Linked DNA regions of Neurospora crassa OR74A. The protein of the gene in region 3 purifies or fractionates together with the protein of the main gene of each other region. This does not show direct contact. Links are inferred from orthologs where the notes say so. Each region holds a gene or a part of one and is shown on either strand. Other genes may lie near its edges.

The links.
Region 1: the proteins of NCU08952 (region 3) and NCU08277 purify together in Saccharomyces cerevisiae (affinity purification with mass spectrometry; 5 studies listed by BioGRID, with this or other methods). This does not show direct contact. The link is inferred for Neurospora crassa OR74A from reciprocal best matches to the Saccharomyces cerevisiae genes GCD7 and SUI2.
Region 2: the proteins of NCU08952 (region 3) and NCU04640 purify together in Saccharomyces cerevisiae (affinity purification with mass spectrometry; 5 studies listed by BioGRID, with this or other methods). This does not show direct contact. The link is inferred for Neurospora crassa OR74A from reciprocal best matches to the Saccharomyces cerevisiae genes GCD7 and SUI3.

Annotation. Positions count from the first base shown.
Region 1 is NC_026504.1:2,569,028-2,573,533, forward strand, and holds NCU08277 (eukaryotic translation initiation factor 2 alpha subunit), read right to left. Parts: upstream 3,041-4,506; 5' UTR 2,604-3,040; coding exon 2,526-2,603; intron 2,457-2,525; coding exon 2,086-2,456; intron 2,007-2,085; coding exon 1,770-2,006; intron 1,704-1,769; coding exon 1,457-1,703; 3' UTR 1,066-1,456; downstream 1-1,065. Other genes in the region: NCU16791 (mitochondrial inner membrane protease subunit 2), read right to left, coding at 268-565, 651-907; NCU08276 (hypothetical protein), read left to right, coding at 3,852-4,174, 4,247-4,506. UniProt on the Saccharomyces cerevisiae protein: eIF-2 functions in the early steps of protein synthesis by forming a ternary complex with GTP and initiator tRNA. This complex binds to a 40S ribosomal subunit, followed by mRNA binding to form a 43S pre-initiation complex.
Region 2 is NC_026505.1:1,363,614-1,368,438, reverse strand, and holds NCU04640 (eukaryotic translation initiation factor 2 beta subunit), read left to right. Parts: upstream 1-1,681; 5' UTR 1,682-2,047; coding exon 2,048-2,059; exon of another isoform or gene 2,060-2,532; coding exon 2,533-2,674; intron 2,675-2,725; coding exon 2,726-3,376; intron 3,377-3,486; coding exon 3,487-3,553; intron 3,554-3,608; coding exon 3,609-3,708; 3' UTR 3,709-4,355; downstream 4,356-4,825. Other genes in the region: NCU16952 (hypothetical protein), read right to left, coding at 506-615, 716-956; NCU04641 (FAD dependent oxidoreductase), read left to right, coding at 4,819-4,825. UniProt on the Saccharomyces cerevisiae protein: Component of the eIF2 complex that functions in the early steps of protein synthesis by forming a ternary complex with GTP and initiator tRNA.
Region 3 is NC_026505.1:5,799,137-5,803,948, reverse strand, and holds NCU08952 (translation regulator GCD7), read right to left. Parts: upstream 2,975-4,812; 5' UTR 2,640-2,974; coding exon 2,542-2,639; intron 2,485-2,541; coding exon 1,432-2,484; intron 1,373-1,431; coding exon 1,285-1,372; 3' UTR 625-1,284; downstream 1-624. Other genes in the region: NCU08953 (hypothetical protein), read right to left, coding at 1-193; NCU08951 (ribosome biogenesis protein Nhp2), read left to right, coding at 3,508-3,793, 3,901-4,343. UniProt on the Saccharomyces cerevisiae protein: Acts as a component of the translation initiation factor 2B (eIF2B) complex, which catalyzes the exchange of GDP for GTP on the eukaryotic initiation factor 2 (eIF2) complex gamma subunit.

The DNA.
Region 1 (4,506 bases), on a different chromosome or scaffold from region 3:
ATATTCTGTACATCAGTCGACCTCTCGGCACCCCCCTGAGACAATAGTAAACAAACAGAGGCCTGTGGTCCAGCACTGAAACTGCTGATGTTTCCTCCTCTTTGTTTGACTGCCGCCACCCTTGTCGTTTCCCACCCGTGGTGTTTGTTGACGATGAGCATCTTATCTCGTCTACAAACCCACAAGGACTGTGTGTGCACCCAAGAAAGCAGCATGTGTGAATATGAACCATTCACGCAAACAAGGTGTGTATCGATTCGCAATGGCTCACTCCAGCAGATGGCGTGCCTTCTTGATCCCCGGTCGCAAGTTATGCTCCCACCACTTTACCCGCCCAAATCGATCCCACGGCGACAGAATATGCGTGACACGGCCGGTGACCAAGCACGCTGATATCGGGCCGTAGTAGTTGCTGTCCTTGGTCTTGTCGCCGTCTCCCTCTACCCAGATGTGCCCTTCTGGTACCTGGACGTATTCATGCGGGTAAGGCGCCTTGGTACGGATCACGTCGCCTGCTATTCCGACCACTCTTTTTACGACCTTTCCCTTTGGGTTCAGTGGGTTTCTGGGTTACAGTTAGTCGTCAGGTTCCCAACCAATGCCCCGAATGCGGCACGCCAGATGCTGTAGGATGAGATTTTGGATCTCACCTAAAGGTCACAATCATGCCGCGCTTGAGGTTCCGGTCCGGGTACCACTTAGAGACCAGTACGATGTCCCGACGTGTTGACTCATTGTAGTGCGGGTTGAAGAAAGGATACATGGACGGCCCCTTGATTTGTGTGATCTCGGCAACCCAGCCGTTGAAGACCACCAATGGAGGGATCCATGTTGCGTAGCGAATGAGGTAGTGTGAGAACTGACCGAGGAATCCGTTCCGAATTCCTGCTCCCCATCGCGCCGCCATCGCTATCCGACCAAGCGAGTTATCGAGCTACCGAAGATGTCAATGCGATGCAACTCTTTGCTGTGAATCGCAATGCTGCTGTGAAATAGAGGGCGTATGTTCGCCTCAACGTGCTCAGTGAGCAGGGCAGTGAGCAGTACGGAGCTTGTGTGTTAACATGGAGAAGACAATAATTGCAGCCACATGCCCGGGCAGGCGGCGATAAGAAAACGATGAGATCGCTTATCAGCCCCGGTAGCTGCATATCCTTGAACGCCTAGATCTACCTAGTTACAGCAAGTGCATCCATAAAATGACTATGTATCCATATCAAGTCTTGTGTTCATCAATCCTCGTCCCTCGCTCACATTCATTAGGCATACGCTTGATGCAATCTTTTGGTTGATTCCTCTACCGCCTGAAGGACTTTTGTATCCCCTAGACGCCAGCCCTGTGTCGCAAAAACTGTATACATGCATCCCTAAACCTTTCCTCAAAATAGTGTCGAGTATCCCAATGAGCCTGCAAAGATAGCTCCGTTTAAGAATGGCTGCAAAATGAAGAGGCGCTTTAGACGGTCTCGGGGATATTGTCGTCGGACTCGCTGACACTCTCGTCGCCGCTGACCTCAGCGTTCTCACGCTCACGCTTCTCCATAAGAGCTTGGAGCTCAGCATCATCGGACTCAGTGACAGCCTTGGGCTCCATCTTCACCACAAGGTGGCCACCAGCAGCCTCGATGCTGGTCCGCATGTCTTGAATGGCCTCCTGAAGGCGGGCAATACCGGCATTCTTGTCCAAGCAGGTGTTGGTAAGGCTGTGTATAGTTATTAGCTTCCACTCTGTCTTCAACATTGCAAGACTATTTCTGGCAAAGACTTACACATAAAGGGGAGGGGACACAAGTCTGCACTTGACCTGGGTTTCCTCAGTGTTGCGAGCCTCCGCAGTGCGGAGAGCGGTCTTGATAGCATCGATACCCTCGTAGCCGAAGCAAGTGACCTCAACATCGGCACGGACCTTGGTAGGCTGGGGAGTCAAACGCTTGCTGATGTAGGTCTTGAGCTCCTCGGCAACGGCCTCGGTGGGGAACTGGATGTCATTCCAGACGTCGGGGTTGCTTCACATCCATGTCAGCATCTTGTCCAATACCGCCATTTTGTCCCACAGCTGTACGCCTATTTCCCGGAATGACGTACGTGATCGAAAGCTTGAAGGCATCAAGCGAGTGGCCGTATTTCTTGTTGAGGGGCCATCCTATTGTCTCGTAAAGCTGCTCGATGGGAACAAGAGTCTTCTCGGCAACGTGGCGCATAATCGAGTGGACGATCTTGCTCTTGTTGTAACGCTCCTCGCAACGAACGATATCCTCGGGGGACACACGACGCTTGGACAAATCGATATAACCCTTCTCCTTGTCGACACGGAGAACGACGACGACCTCGTTGCGACCGACACGGATCAACTTCTGGATGGAACGAATACGTCTTCTGGAAAGCTCAGAGAGCAGGATCATGCCGTCGATGTTGTCGTACTCGAGAAGCTTGACGTAGGCGCCCATATCGGCAATCTAATCTGGGGGTCAGCTCTGACGCATCCACATGCGCATGCGCACCACCGGGACCCCAGTGTATCGTACTTGCTTAACATTGACCATAACGAACGAGTCGATTTCAGGATACTTCTCCTCATAGAAACGGCAGTTTGAGAGCGACATGTTGGCGACTGGTGCCTTTTCCCGGGCGGGGCAAACGGTGAAATAAGTGGTGGTGTTAGTGGTGTTGAAAGGGGGAGGGTAATGTCGGCGACGAGCTTCGCGACAATGGGCGAGATGGAATTCGAGTGGATGGTCTGGAGGGGTTGATGGCCGAGAAAGAAAATTGACCGAGTTTCGCTGCAAGTGGCCACAGCTGGGAAAGGTCCTCTGGAAGTTCGAGTTCTGGTTGCGGCAGCGGGTTCTCGGAGGGTCCAGCGAGGCTCAAAGGACTCACTCAAAGTTAGCCAGATGCGTCGCAGTATTTTTCGGGTACCAACCAAAAATTACGTGCAGACAGGCTGCAAAAGTGGCGTGGGCACTTTGGGAGGGAACGAAGTAGGCTGTGGCTGGTGCGCCGGATTGAGGGGTGAATTTCACGTTCTGACCGTGACGGCAAGTGAGACGCGGCTCCATCTTTTTTTTTTGAGGTGGGGTAAGTCGGGTACCTAGGTAAGGAAGCGCACAGCAGCCCAGGTGGGAACAACGGTACGCAAAGGCAGGTACCTGCTCTCGGTTAGGTACCTCTACTTACTCCACCTGCCCCGAACTCCACTGTGCCAAGCGCCAGCTCAGTGGGCAGGAACAACGACGTCAATCGTGAACCGACAGTGGGGTTAGTCACTGATAAGCCTGGAATCTTCCTTGGACATCGTCGAGCTAGGGAGCTTCAATCACTGAACCTTGCTTGTCCACCAACGGCGACTTGGAGATTCGACTTTTGCACGGCACCCAAACGAATCCCGAGGGCCGACCAACACCCGACGACACTGGGCTCATCTAAACCCTCCGCACATGTCGTTACTTTTGGAGGAGCTCACCCGTTTCGCTTTTCTCGACGGTCTCCGTCTTGGGTGACAACACTTGGACCGATATGAAAAAGAACAGAGCGACGACACCGCAGACCAGGTAGTAAGAGTTGGGTTTCAACCACAGGCACATCGGGGAGGGGACAGCTCATAGGTCTTGATCAGGTTGCGACGGTACTTTTGGGGTTCAGACACGCTGATCGATCGAACACCAACTATTCTTCACGACCATCCCCACGACGACGGCGCGACACTACCGCGATACCTACAACCCTATAAAAAAAAGGAAACACAAAAACAAAAACATACATACACACTCTCTTCTTTCTGTCAGAACCGATCTACACGACGGGCTCGCCCGGTAACTCTTGGCTTGCTTGCTTGGTGCTTCAGGCTTCTGAAAATGGAGTCTCTTAGCAACCTCGGCAACGCCATGAGCTCGGTGCTTTCCGAGACAACGTCCACGACTGCGACGGCAATCCTCGCCGATCCTACAGAAGCCCTCTCGTCTGTCGTCGCTCTCGCCAGCGATGCGGTCTCGAAAGCTACTAGCGATGTGGTTCCCGAACACACCCCGACTTCATGGTTCACCATCATCCTCTGGCTGTTGCACCGCATCTCGAGTGTGCTATACTTTGTCATCAAGCTGACCACCATCACTACACCCACCTTTCTGTTCAACATCTTTTCGACTAGTCTGACGGTGACCATGAACGCCACTACGCTGTAAGTCATCCGCCAGCCGCATTTTGTATACATGGACTCAAGGCTGGTGGATCTAACCGTCGGTATGCTTAGTGTGCTTATTATGTTGTTCATGATGGCAGGAGTGACCTGGGTAGTCAGATATCGCTACTTAAACATGTACTCACGGCTTCCTCCTGAGCCCCAGCGCAAAGAGCCAGCTGTTGATCTGTTCCCCGAAACACAGGAGGAAGGAGTAAAGTCTGGGCTAGCTAGCTACTTTGACGAGTTTCTCAGCGCCATCAAAATCTTTGGTTATCTGGAAAGGCCGGTTTTCCATGAACTGACCCGCAGCATGCAAACGAGGAAGCTGA
Region 2 (4,825 bases), about 4.4 Mb from region 3:
TATGGCAGCAAGGATGAGTTATGGTGATGGATAGCTATTCGCTTCATCATGGGTGTGCGGTGTCGCAACCCTCGACAATTATACCCAGATCAGTGTAATTACGTAGTGATGGCTTGGGTTAATATGGCGAACGAGGAAAGGAAGATCAGAACCTGCATGTTATAATAGTATCAGTCGAACCTAAAGTCAGCAATAGTAATGGGTATAATTGGCATTGTCTGATGATCAGATGTATCTGCAGAGCTTCAACGCTTGCTTCCACAAGTATAACGACAGTCCACATGCATTCTACACATGTCTGTAATTCTTCACCACCAATGCAACGCAAACTGTGCAAGAACGAAACATACCCCTTTATGCTAGTGTTCCCATACCGTAACGCCAAAAGAGCACTGTGTCCACCCCTGGTATCCCAGATTATACCGAAAAAATAGGGTATCGAGAATTGTGCTGCCGTCGCCTTTGACTCGAGTACCTCATCACCACGGTCGCCTGTCTGCCTCCCTCATACTGATACTGGCGTAGCAGCTCCTATCCAACCGGCAATGTTGAATAGCGTCTTGTTATACCATTGGACCTTGACCCCGTGCGCCCACTCCATGTACCGTCCCCAACCTGCCGGGCCATGTTAGCAACTGACTTTCCGCATCGTCGTTATTGTCTCCTCCCACAGCGCAAGCTGTCTTTCCCAAGATCTGGTTTTGGTTTGTCTTACTCCAATAAGCAAACTTGCGCCCCAAAAACTTGCCCGCGAACGGTATTAGCACCAAGTTCAAGAGAAGCTGCAGCTGCTCGAGACTCTGTTCCCATTCCTTTTGTGCGTCTGATTCGTCGTCGTACTCGGAGTCGTCCGAGCCTAGGATACTGCTGGAGATGGACGGGAGGGAGTCGACATCGTCGTTGTCGGTTGACGGGGAGTGGTCGTGGAGGACGTAGGAATCGGAGGGGGTGGACATGGTTTTGGATGTCCCGAATGCGCAATTTGTCTGTCTGAGGGTATCGCGTCTCTGGCCGGGAGTAGGTAGCTATCGTCAGTGTGGTTTGGATGAGGCGAGCAAGTGGTCGGCGCCGGCGCACGGTCGGTTGTCGCGGTGAAGATGGTACTGTAAGTAGCTATCGTAGCTCGGGCAAATTGCGATAGTTCGGGATGGAGACACTGTACGAATCGGCGTAACGCCTGACGTGTAGGATATTGTAGAAATCGCGTGGGACGAACTTGATTGCTGCTGGGAGATTCGTTGTCGGTTACGAACACAGCGATACACGGAGATGGATACCTCTACGGACTCGGCGCGCCTTCCAAGGTTCGTGATGGAGCTGGTTGTTGTCGGTGACCGATGACGGGCCACGGCACCAACTGCTGCAGCAGTGCAGCTATGCGATGCTGGAATGGACACCACTCACCTATCGCTGCCGCCAAGCACTGCACCGGACTGCAAGTGCCAGTGCCAACCCAACCGTGTCGGACTGTGCGGCCGTGGCTCGAGCGGGTTGAAGGCACCGTGCTGCAGGGAGGAGGGCTGCATGGCCTGGAAAATGGAGAAGCGGAGGCGATTTGTAGTTGCAAGTGGCGGGCAGCTGTCTGAGCTCTTCCCACCCCACTTGTCAGGTGATTGAGAAGACTGACTCACAGTTTCGCTTCAATCAACGTCATGAGGTGAACACAGCTGAGGCGTGGTGCCGGTGCCCCATCCAGAGCCGTGTGTACAGAAAGAACTCCGCTCAGTCTCCAGCCCAACGACAGAACTAAACGACAGTAGTAGTAGGTAACCAGACCAGGACCCAAGCGGCATCCAACTACCTAGGTCCCCGCAAAGAACAATTCCAGGTCCGAAACTGAAAGAAAGCTGAGATCAGTCTGCCTGCATCGATACCTCTCCCGACCCCAAAGTCTACCTAATCTCATCCATCGACAAAATCCACTCTCTGCGACCAACAAAGAGTCCACCGGAAGAGACATCGATTACAAAGAAAAAGACGGACAATCACACACCTACAGACAGACAGACAGACACCACCACACTCTCAAACACACCAGTGGCCCAGCATGGATTCTGAAGTAAGTACCTGGGATGGATCTCCTTGCTTCAGTACACACTCACTACCTCTACGCCCACACAACACACCCTCCGTCCTCCCCGACCCTACCACCACGCTAGAGGCAGACACCTCGAGCCCTGGGGGGAGCCACGCTTCTCGCCTAGTCAAAAATACTAAGGAAATAAAAAGTCCCATTCACCACACTGCACACCCCTCACTGTACTTTGCTACCTACGCAGTGCAATTATACCTATCCCCGGCCCCAGCCCTCAAGTCCCCTGACGTGTACTGCCCCTCCAAGGCGCCAACCCTCTCCCTCCACCCCCAGCCCAAAATCCACCATAAAGTTCTGGCACTCTGCAGCGCGAAAACGCCGCCAATCATCCCAAAAAATTCCGAGCTTTCCTATCCACACTCGACGGCGAAATCCTTGACCGCTATCGCGACTCCCACGACAAGCGCCTTATCCACTCCGATATACTAACCCTTTAGGCGCCCTCTATCAAAAGACGCCCCTCGCGCAAGTCTGTCACCTTTACCGACGAGAAGCTAGTTGTCAACCCCGACGGTTCTGTCACCATGGACGCCTCTCCCGCCGACGAAATCAAGGAGACTGCCCAGTCCCACTCTGCTCGTACGCCGCCCCTCCACGCCGCTCTCGGGGCCTTTACTGATGCCCCCCAAGCCACCGAGCCCCAGGATGCTGCTGCTGCTGCCGCCCCCGCCGCCGATGATGGCCTCGACCTTTCGCTCATGAAGAAGAAGAAGAAGAAGGTCAAGAAGGAGGACGATGCCGACGCCGCTGCTGATGAGGCCGCCCCTGCCGAGGGTGACGGTGCTATCGACCTCACCATGAAGAAAAAGAAGAAGAAGAAGGTCGTCAAGGAGGATGATGAGTTCGCCAAGAAGCTGGAGGCTCTCAACATTGAGGGCAAGGAGGGCGAGGAGGCCGCCCCCCAGGAGGACGAGCAGGAGGGCGATATGGACCAGGGCACCGGCATTTGGGCCCACGACGAGACCAAGCCCATCAGCTACAACGCTCTTCTGTCCCGTTTCTTCGCCCTTCTCTCGCAAAAGAACCCCGACCACGCCTCTACCGGTACACGGTCGTACAAGATCCCGCCCCCGCAGTGTCTCCGTGAAGGCAACAAGAAGACCATCTTCGCCAACCTGCCCGAGATTTGCAAGCGCATGAAGAGAGCCGACGAGCACGTTACTTCTTACCTTTTCGCCGAATTGGGTACCAGCGGTTCCGTCGACGGCAGCAGGCGTCTGGTCATCAAGGGTCGTTTCCAGCAGAAGCAGATCGAGAACGTTCTGCGTACCTACATTATCGGTATGTCTATTTGATCCTGTCGTCGTTTGGACGTTTTGCGCCCAAGTAGACAATGTCACCACCAGCACCCAACGTTTTGCTCTGACTACAAATGCTAACATGCTCAACAGAGTACGTTACCTGCAAGACGTGCCGTTCCCCCAACACCGAGCTCTCCAAGGGCGAGAACCGTCTTTAGTAAGTTGGCCTCTGTTTACGACGACCATAGCCCCAAAATGCTGACATGTCACAGTTTCATTACCTGCAACTCTTGCGGTTCTAGGCGGTCTGTCCAGGCCATTAAGACCGGTTTCTCTGCCCAGGTCGGCAAGAGAAAGAAGATGCAGGGTTAAGCGGTTTTTGTTTTCTTGTTTCGAGGCCCTTGCAGTTTGCTTTTCAATGTTTTCACGCTTCAAGGACGGAGTTAAGACGGCATTGTATATGGCTGGTTGGGCACGGGTCTTTTACGAAGTAGCACGGCCCCTCTGAACGGCAATCTCTCATCTCCAGTACACGAGAGAGAGGATGGAAGAGAGAGTCTGTGCTACAAAATCAGGTGAATTCCTTACGCGGTAGGGTACGGGTTAATATGACGATACTTGATGAAGAATTGGTACACAAAAAGTTCTGGTTTTTGATGATGGTGGCACACTTATCCTTACTTTGCATAGGGAGTCTGATAAAGAGGAGGGCTTTCTTCTTTTCCTGAGCTTGTCTGATTTATATGGATGAGGGCTGCGAGGTTGTATCTAGACTGATGTGGGATTCAGAGGTTCTCAGGTCATTCATGACCATGGTCAGCAAGCTAGACTGGGAGAGCAAGGAAGAGGCTGACTGAGCGCAGGATTACGAAGCGATGGATTTTGAGATCTTGCGAACAGGAATTATTCTCTGTTCTTTGCAGTATGTATAGCCATTCAGTCTACCTTTATAAACTACATTATGTTATCGAAACTCAAAGTGGCAGTTGAGTAAAATGATAAACCTTGATACTCCGCGATTGGTGAGAAAAAGCGGCCGCTTAGGTTCGAAATCTCACCTTGACGCGTATACATTGCGTATACACTACGTTCCGATGTTTTGGCGATCGATCCATGATATGCCGAGCACATGCATGATAGTTAGCTTCGGGAGAATCTTTCCCCTCCACATTTTGCATCAACAAACCCATATAAGACGATGGGCCGCAGGCAACAACTCAACGGTTCAACCTCGTCTGTCTGTTCGATAGATTAGTCAACACTTTCCAAGTCAACGCGTAACGTGACTCATCACTACTTTACCTGCTCGATTCCACTCATCACTCAAGTCTTCCCCTTCATCATCACAACCACCAGGTACAAGCCAAAATGACCATCCGCTAAACCGGCCCCAGAGGAGTCGACCAGCACATCCCCCACCCTTCTTCTCACCACCACAGCGACCTCGGCCGAGCCGCCCAACCGACCCAACAGGAAACGAACATGAACA
Region 3 (4,812 bases):
TTTTGTAGTAGCAGATTATCTCCTCCGCTTCGTCGGGCCAGTCTGTGGGTGCACTTCTCGGAGAGCCGAGAGGAGGATATGCGGCGGCAGCGGTGGCAGGTTGTTCTTGCGGGGGGCTAGTGAAAGAAGTCGTGGGGGTGTCGGTGGAAAGGGAGAGGACTTGAAATAAAAACGAGGAGCGTGCGTGTGACATTTTGGTGGTAGTTGACTTTGACTGGTTGGATTATCGCGATCCGGCCGAGCGAGCGTATGATTTGAGGTTGGAGCGGATTCCCCGAGGAGGTAACGGGTTGAGCTATGTGGACGATGGTCGTGGGTTTTTGGACCGTCGGTGTACGGATCGTAGGTAGGTATGTAGGTCGTAGATGGATAGACTATGGGATCATGATCGGAGGTAATGACCCGTGGGGATTTGCACTGTAGGAGTCTTGAACAGTGGTTGTGTGTAGTGTAGGTATATAGACCGTACGTGTGTAGGCCGTTCGAGCGTAGACCGTGAGGATGTAGCCCCAAACAGTCACGTGGATGGTATGAAAAAGGAGCTGGAGAAGACGGAGAATGACTCCCGCTCGAAGAAAGGGACGCGATAGACAAGTATCGGTGTCTGAAGGATCGTGAAGTAAGGACAAGCCGTTGATGTATTGATTTACGTGGATAAATGACCTAAGGAGCGAGGAACCGAGTACGTAGACGGATGACGAGAAAAAGAGAGGGAATTAATTCGAGTGGAAAGAGAATGGATGGGCAAGTTTAAGTATCTGTCAGACTCCCTGTGCAGGGAGATGTATTTTCCAGGGAAATATATTTCGGCGCGCAGATGAAGTCCGACATAACAGCATCCGATGTCCGCAGCGGAGGCCCCGATTCCTGCTTATATACGATATCCTTACGTGATGCTGTACTGCACTCATCTAGATCCTTAAGTTCGATGGCGGCCCAGCAAGAAAAAGCGACACATCTTGTCCCTTCACCCCATCTAACCATGCCCGTCGAAGCCTCTGCCAGCGTCCAAAGCTACTGAGTCCGGTGAATCCGCAAAACCTCGCCATCGGGACTACCGAAATATGCACGATGATAAGGAACAAACAAGTTTATGGGTACAGATATGACTCTTCAGTTGACATATATGCAACGCACGATGTTGTATTTTCGGAACGCATATTGGTCGGCCAGGTTGAACCAGGAACAGTCGAGAGGTATTTGAACGAGTATTGCATTGGACCGGCAGCATGATACATTATTAACCGCGTCTTTTTATTTTCTTCATTTTTTTCTCTTCGGCTTCTAAGGCAGATGCAAAGACAAGCCCATATCTTCGAGCTTGTAATGGTCGGCCATGATGGTGGCAAGATGATCTCGTGTTTGGGGGCCACTGTAAAGTTGTTAGTGTTGGGGTTCTTCAGTCATCAAAATTATGGGTTCAGGGCTTACAGGTTTGTTAGGTATACATCGACGTATTGGGGTGGCAGGTACTCGCCCACGATGTTCTCTACCTCGAGGGCATCGACGGCCTCACCGTCGGCATAGTCGACATACGTCGAAGAATCTCCCTGCTCGAACTCGGTCCCATCGTCCGACGGATCTACGGGGCAGAACTTGTAAACACCGCTTAGAACGATAACGGGCTTGGAGTACTCCTGCGCTGCCCTAGCAGCAGTACTGCACCCACTCTCTGTGGAAATACCGCCGTTCGCATATACGGCCTTGGCGCTGATAACGACCTTGTTCACCCTAGGCATATAGGCCATCAAGCCGTTGCTAGCCAGGCTGATGGCGTTGACCCCGAGACCGTTGAGCTTCTTCCGTAGGGCAGCATGGGGCACCTCGCCGGGTTTTTGACGCTCAGCGCTGGCGATGAACACGGTAAACCTCCTCTTTGCTGCGGCTTTGAGGAGGAATCTCTCGACTGTTGGGGAGGGGAGGTAGGCGAGCACGTAATCGCCGGGGTGAATCTGGATGTCCGCGAAACCCGCAATCTGGTCGTCCGCCTGGCTGATCTCGTCCATAATCTCTTCGATGCCATCGATAACTTCGGACCGTAGGGCATGCATGTTGGCAGATGCGCCCTGGGACATGGGGGTAGATGCGCCGGTAACTGGTGACTGTGCGGTCTCTGAGACGCAGAGAAGGTTGAACATGGACTTGGACATGGGGAGAGTCGCGGCGCGGAGGGGCGTGGGGCCTGGCCTTGTGGAAATGGTGGGCGTTGTGGGCAGCTGGGAGAGGTCGGATACTGAGTCGCCCATCTCGTCGGCATTTCTGTCCTCGGAAGCCTCATCACGAATAAGACCCATTACTCGGCGGACAACGTTGCCGATGACTTGCTCAGTGGGAGCAGCTTGGGCAAGTCTGTGGCCGGTGTTGGAGACCTTTGCGAGCAGCTGATCGACGTTCTGCCACTTAGACTTGGCGACGACCTGGAGCAGCATATGGGCTGTGGCATTGGCGACATCATCGCCCTTGACTTGGCGACGTTTTAGGAGGCTGCCCAACCATGTTAGGATCTGATATAAGATAGATATGAAGCAGGCGTAGGCGTACTAAATAAGAGCCTCGATAGAAGCCTCCAAGGGCTGAGTGTTGAGAGACTTGAGGAGCTTGCCCAACGTGGGGGCATAGCTCATTTGCGACGACGCCATGGCGATGAGCTGTGTATAGTACTCTGTGTGCTACTGAGGTATTGTGGAGGTGATGTCGAAGTGAGAGTGCGACTGTTCCCTGCTCGAGGCTGTATGGTCTTTACGAATGGTACTGGACGGATATCTATGAAATCGATATAGGCGGGGGGGAATGACAAGGCTGCTGGTCGCAAAAAGGTTCTCCAACAATAGCTTCCAGAACTGGGCCAATGTCGCTTGGGATTGTGGACTTTTTGCCAGTGAATTGTCGAGGTGAGTCAATGGCTCACACTGAATGCGCTTGGAGGTAGGTATCACAAGCTCTAGAAATTTAGTGGGGCAGGCAAGCAACCGGCCTTCAAGGACAAAGCACTGCCGCTGTTTGCCAGTTTGCGGCAGGCTAGAAGCAGGCCTTGTTTAAGTTCAAGACTACTACTAATCCCTGTCGTACTGAATGGAAAGCCCCACCAAGCAAAAGGTGGAAGTTTAAGACATTTCCTCTTATCGCGTGCTTATCGGAAAATTGGTCCCTCTTATCGCACCCAATTCCAGGCGCTCACCTGCATTATCGGCCCCCGGGCGGAACGGCTTTACAATTGGCCTACAAATTTTTGGTCGCGTCGCTCTGCTTTGATTGACTGGGTCACTTGATGGACCCAGTAAAATCTGCGTTGAAGAATCCATTTCTGCGATCAACCGCCCCATCACGATACCAAATACCTTGACGCCCCAACCCAGTAACTTTTTTTTCTCTTTACTGCAGTGGTTGTCTGTATAACCATTCTTTAATTCCTGTTTGATACCCCATCCCCCTCCACCACCAACTTTATCTACACACACCCAACCACCACCACCAACAACAACACACACACACATTTAATCCGACAAGATGGGTGCCACCGACAAGATCAAGGAGAAGAAGGACAAGTCCGAGAAGAAGGACAAGAAGGAGAAGAAGATGAGCGAGGAGGCCGGTGTCAAGAAGGAGAAGAAGGACAAGAAGGAGAAGAAGGAGAAGACCGAGAAGCTCGCCAAGGCCGTCGAGGCTCACCTCGAGAAGGAGGGTTCCGTCGACCCTGAGGATGTCGTCAAGACCGCCGAGGACCTCGTCCCCTTTGCCCTTCCCCTCGCCGACGACAAGACCCACAAGAAGATTTACAAGTTGATCAAGAAGGGTACGTTTTGTGACTACTCTCCAATTGCATTGCCAGGCTCCTCAATCGCAGCCCACGCACGACTTGTACTGAACCCAAGCTAACTTTTGATTAAAAAAAACAAACAGGCGCCAAGCTCAAGTCCATCCACCGCGGCGTAAAAGAGTGCGAGAAGGCCATCAAGAAGTGCCCCCTCCGGACCGCCGCCTCCCCTCCCGCCGACGCTCCCGGCCTCGTCATCATCGCCGGCGACATCTCGCCCATGGACGTGATCATGCACTTCCCCATTCTGTGCGAGGAGCACGGCGTTCCCTACCTGTACATTCGCTCGCGCGCCGACCTCGGCGTTGCCGCCTGCACCAAGCGCGCCACCTCGGTGGTGATGCTCAAGCCCGAGGGCAAGAAGTCCTCTGGCAAGGAGGAGGGCGACAAGGTCGACCCTGCCGAGTACCTCGAGGCCTACAAGGAGCTGGTCAAGACGGCGCAAAAACAGTGGAACGTCCAGGTCGAGCCCTGGGTCAAGGGTACTCACCCGCTCCAGATCGAGGCCAAGGTCAAGGGCACTGCCTAAATTGGCGGGAGCAATGACTCGAGCGAAACAAAACACACAAAAGATGAAAGGCTGCAACGACATGATGGCGACAGCGGGAGCACATGAGACCATGACACTATTGCAGGTGCCGGTGTGATTGTGCGTCTGCTTGTTGCAAGAGTGTTCGTGTGCGTACGTGCTTTTTGCTCAGACAATCGGACCGTCTTACCGTTGAGAGAGAAGAAAACAGGCGACCGATCATCTTGGAGATTGGACGCTGGCGGGGAGCGCAAAGACTGTTATTCGATGGACTTTTGCCTGGGCTTGGGGAACAGATGAAGGAGGAACAAGTTTGTGACGCCTTAATCACAACCTCTATCACTCTTTTCTTCCCTCGATGTCGATTTCTGTCTCCGCTTCGGGCTCCTCCCACCTCTCGCTCTCATCACGAAAAGATTGTCGGATATCGGTCATCATCTCTTCCGCATTGACCACATCCGGTCGGCTC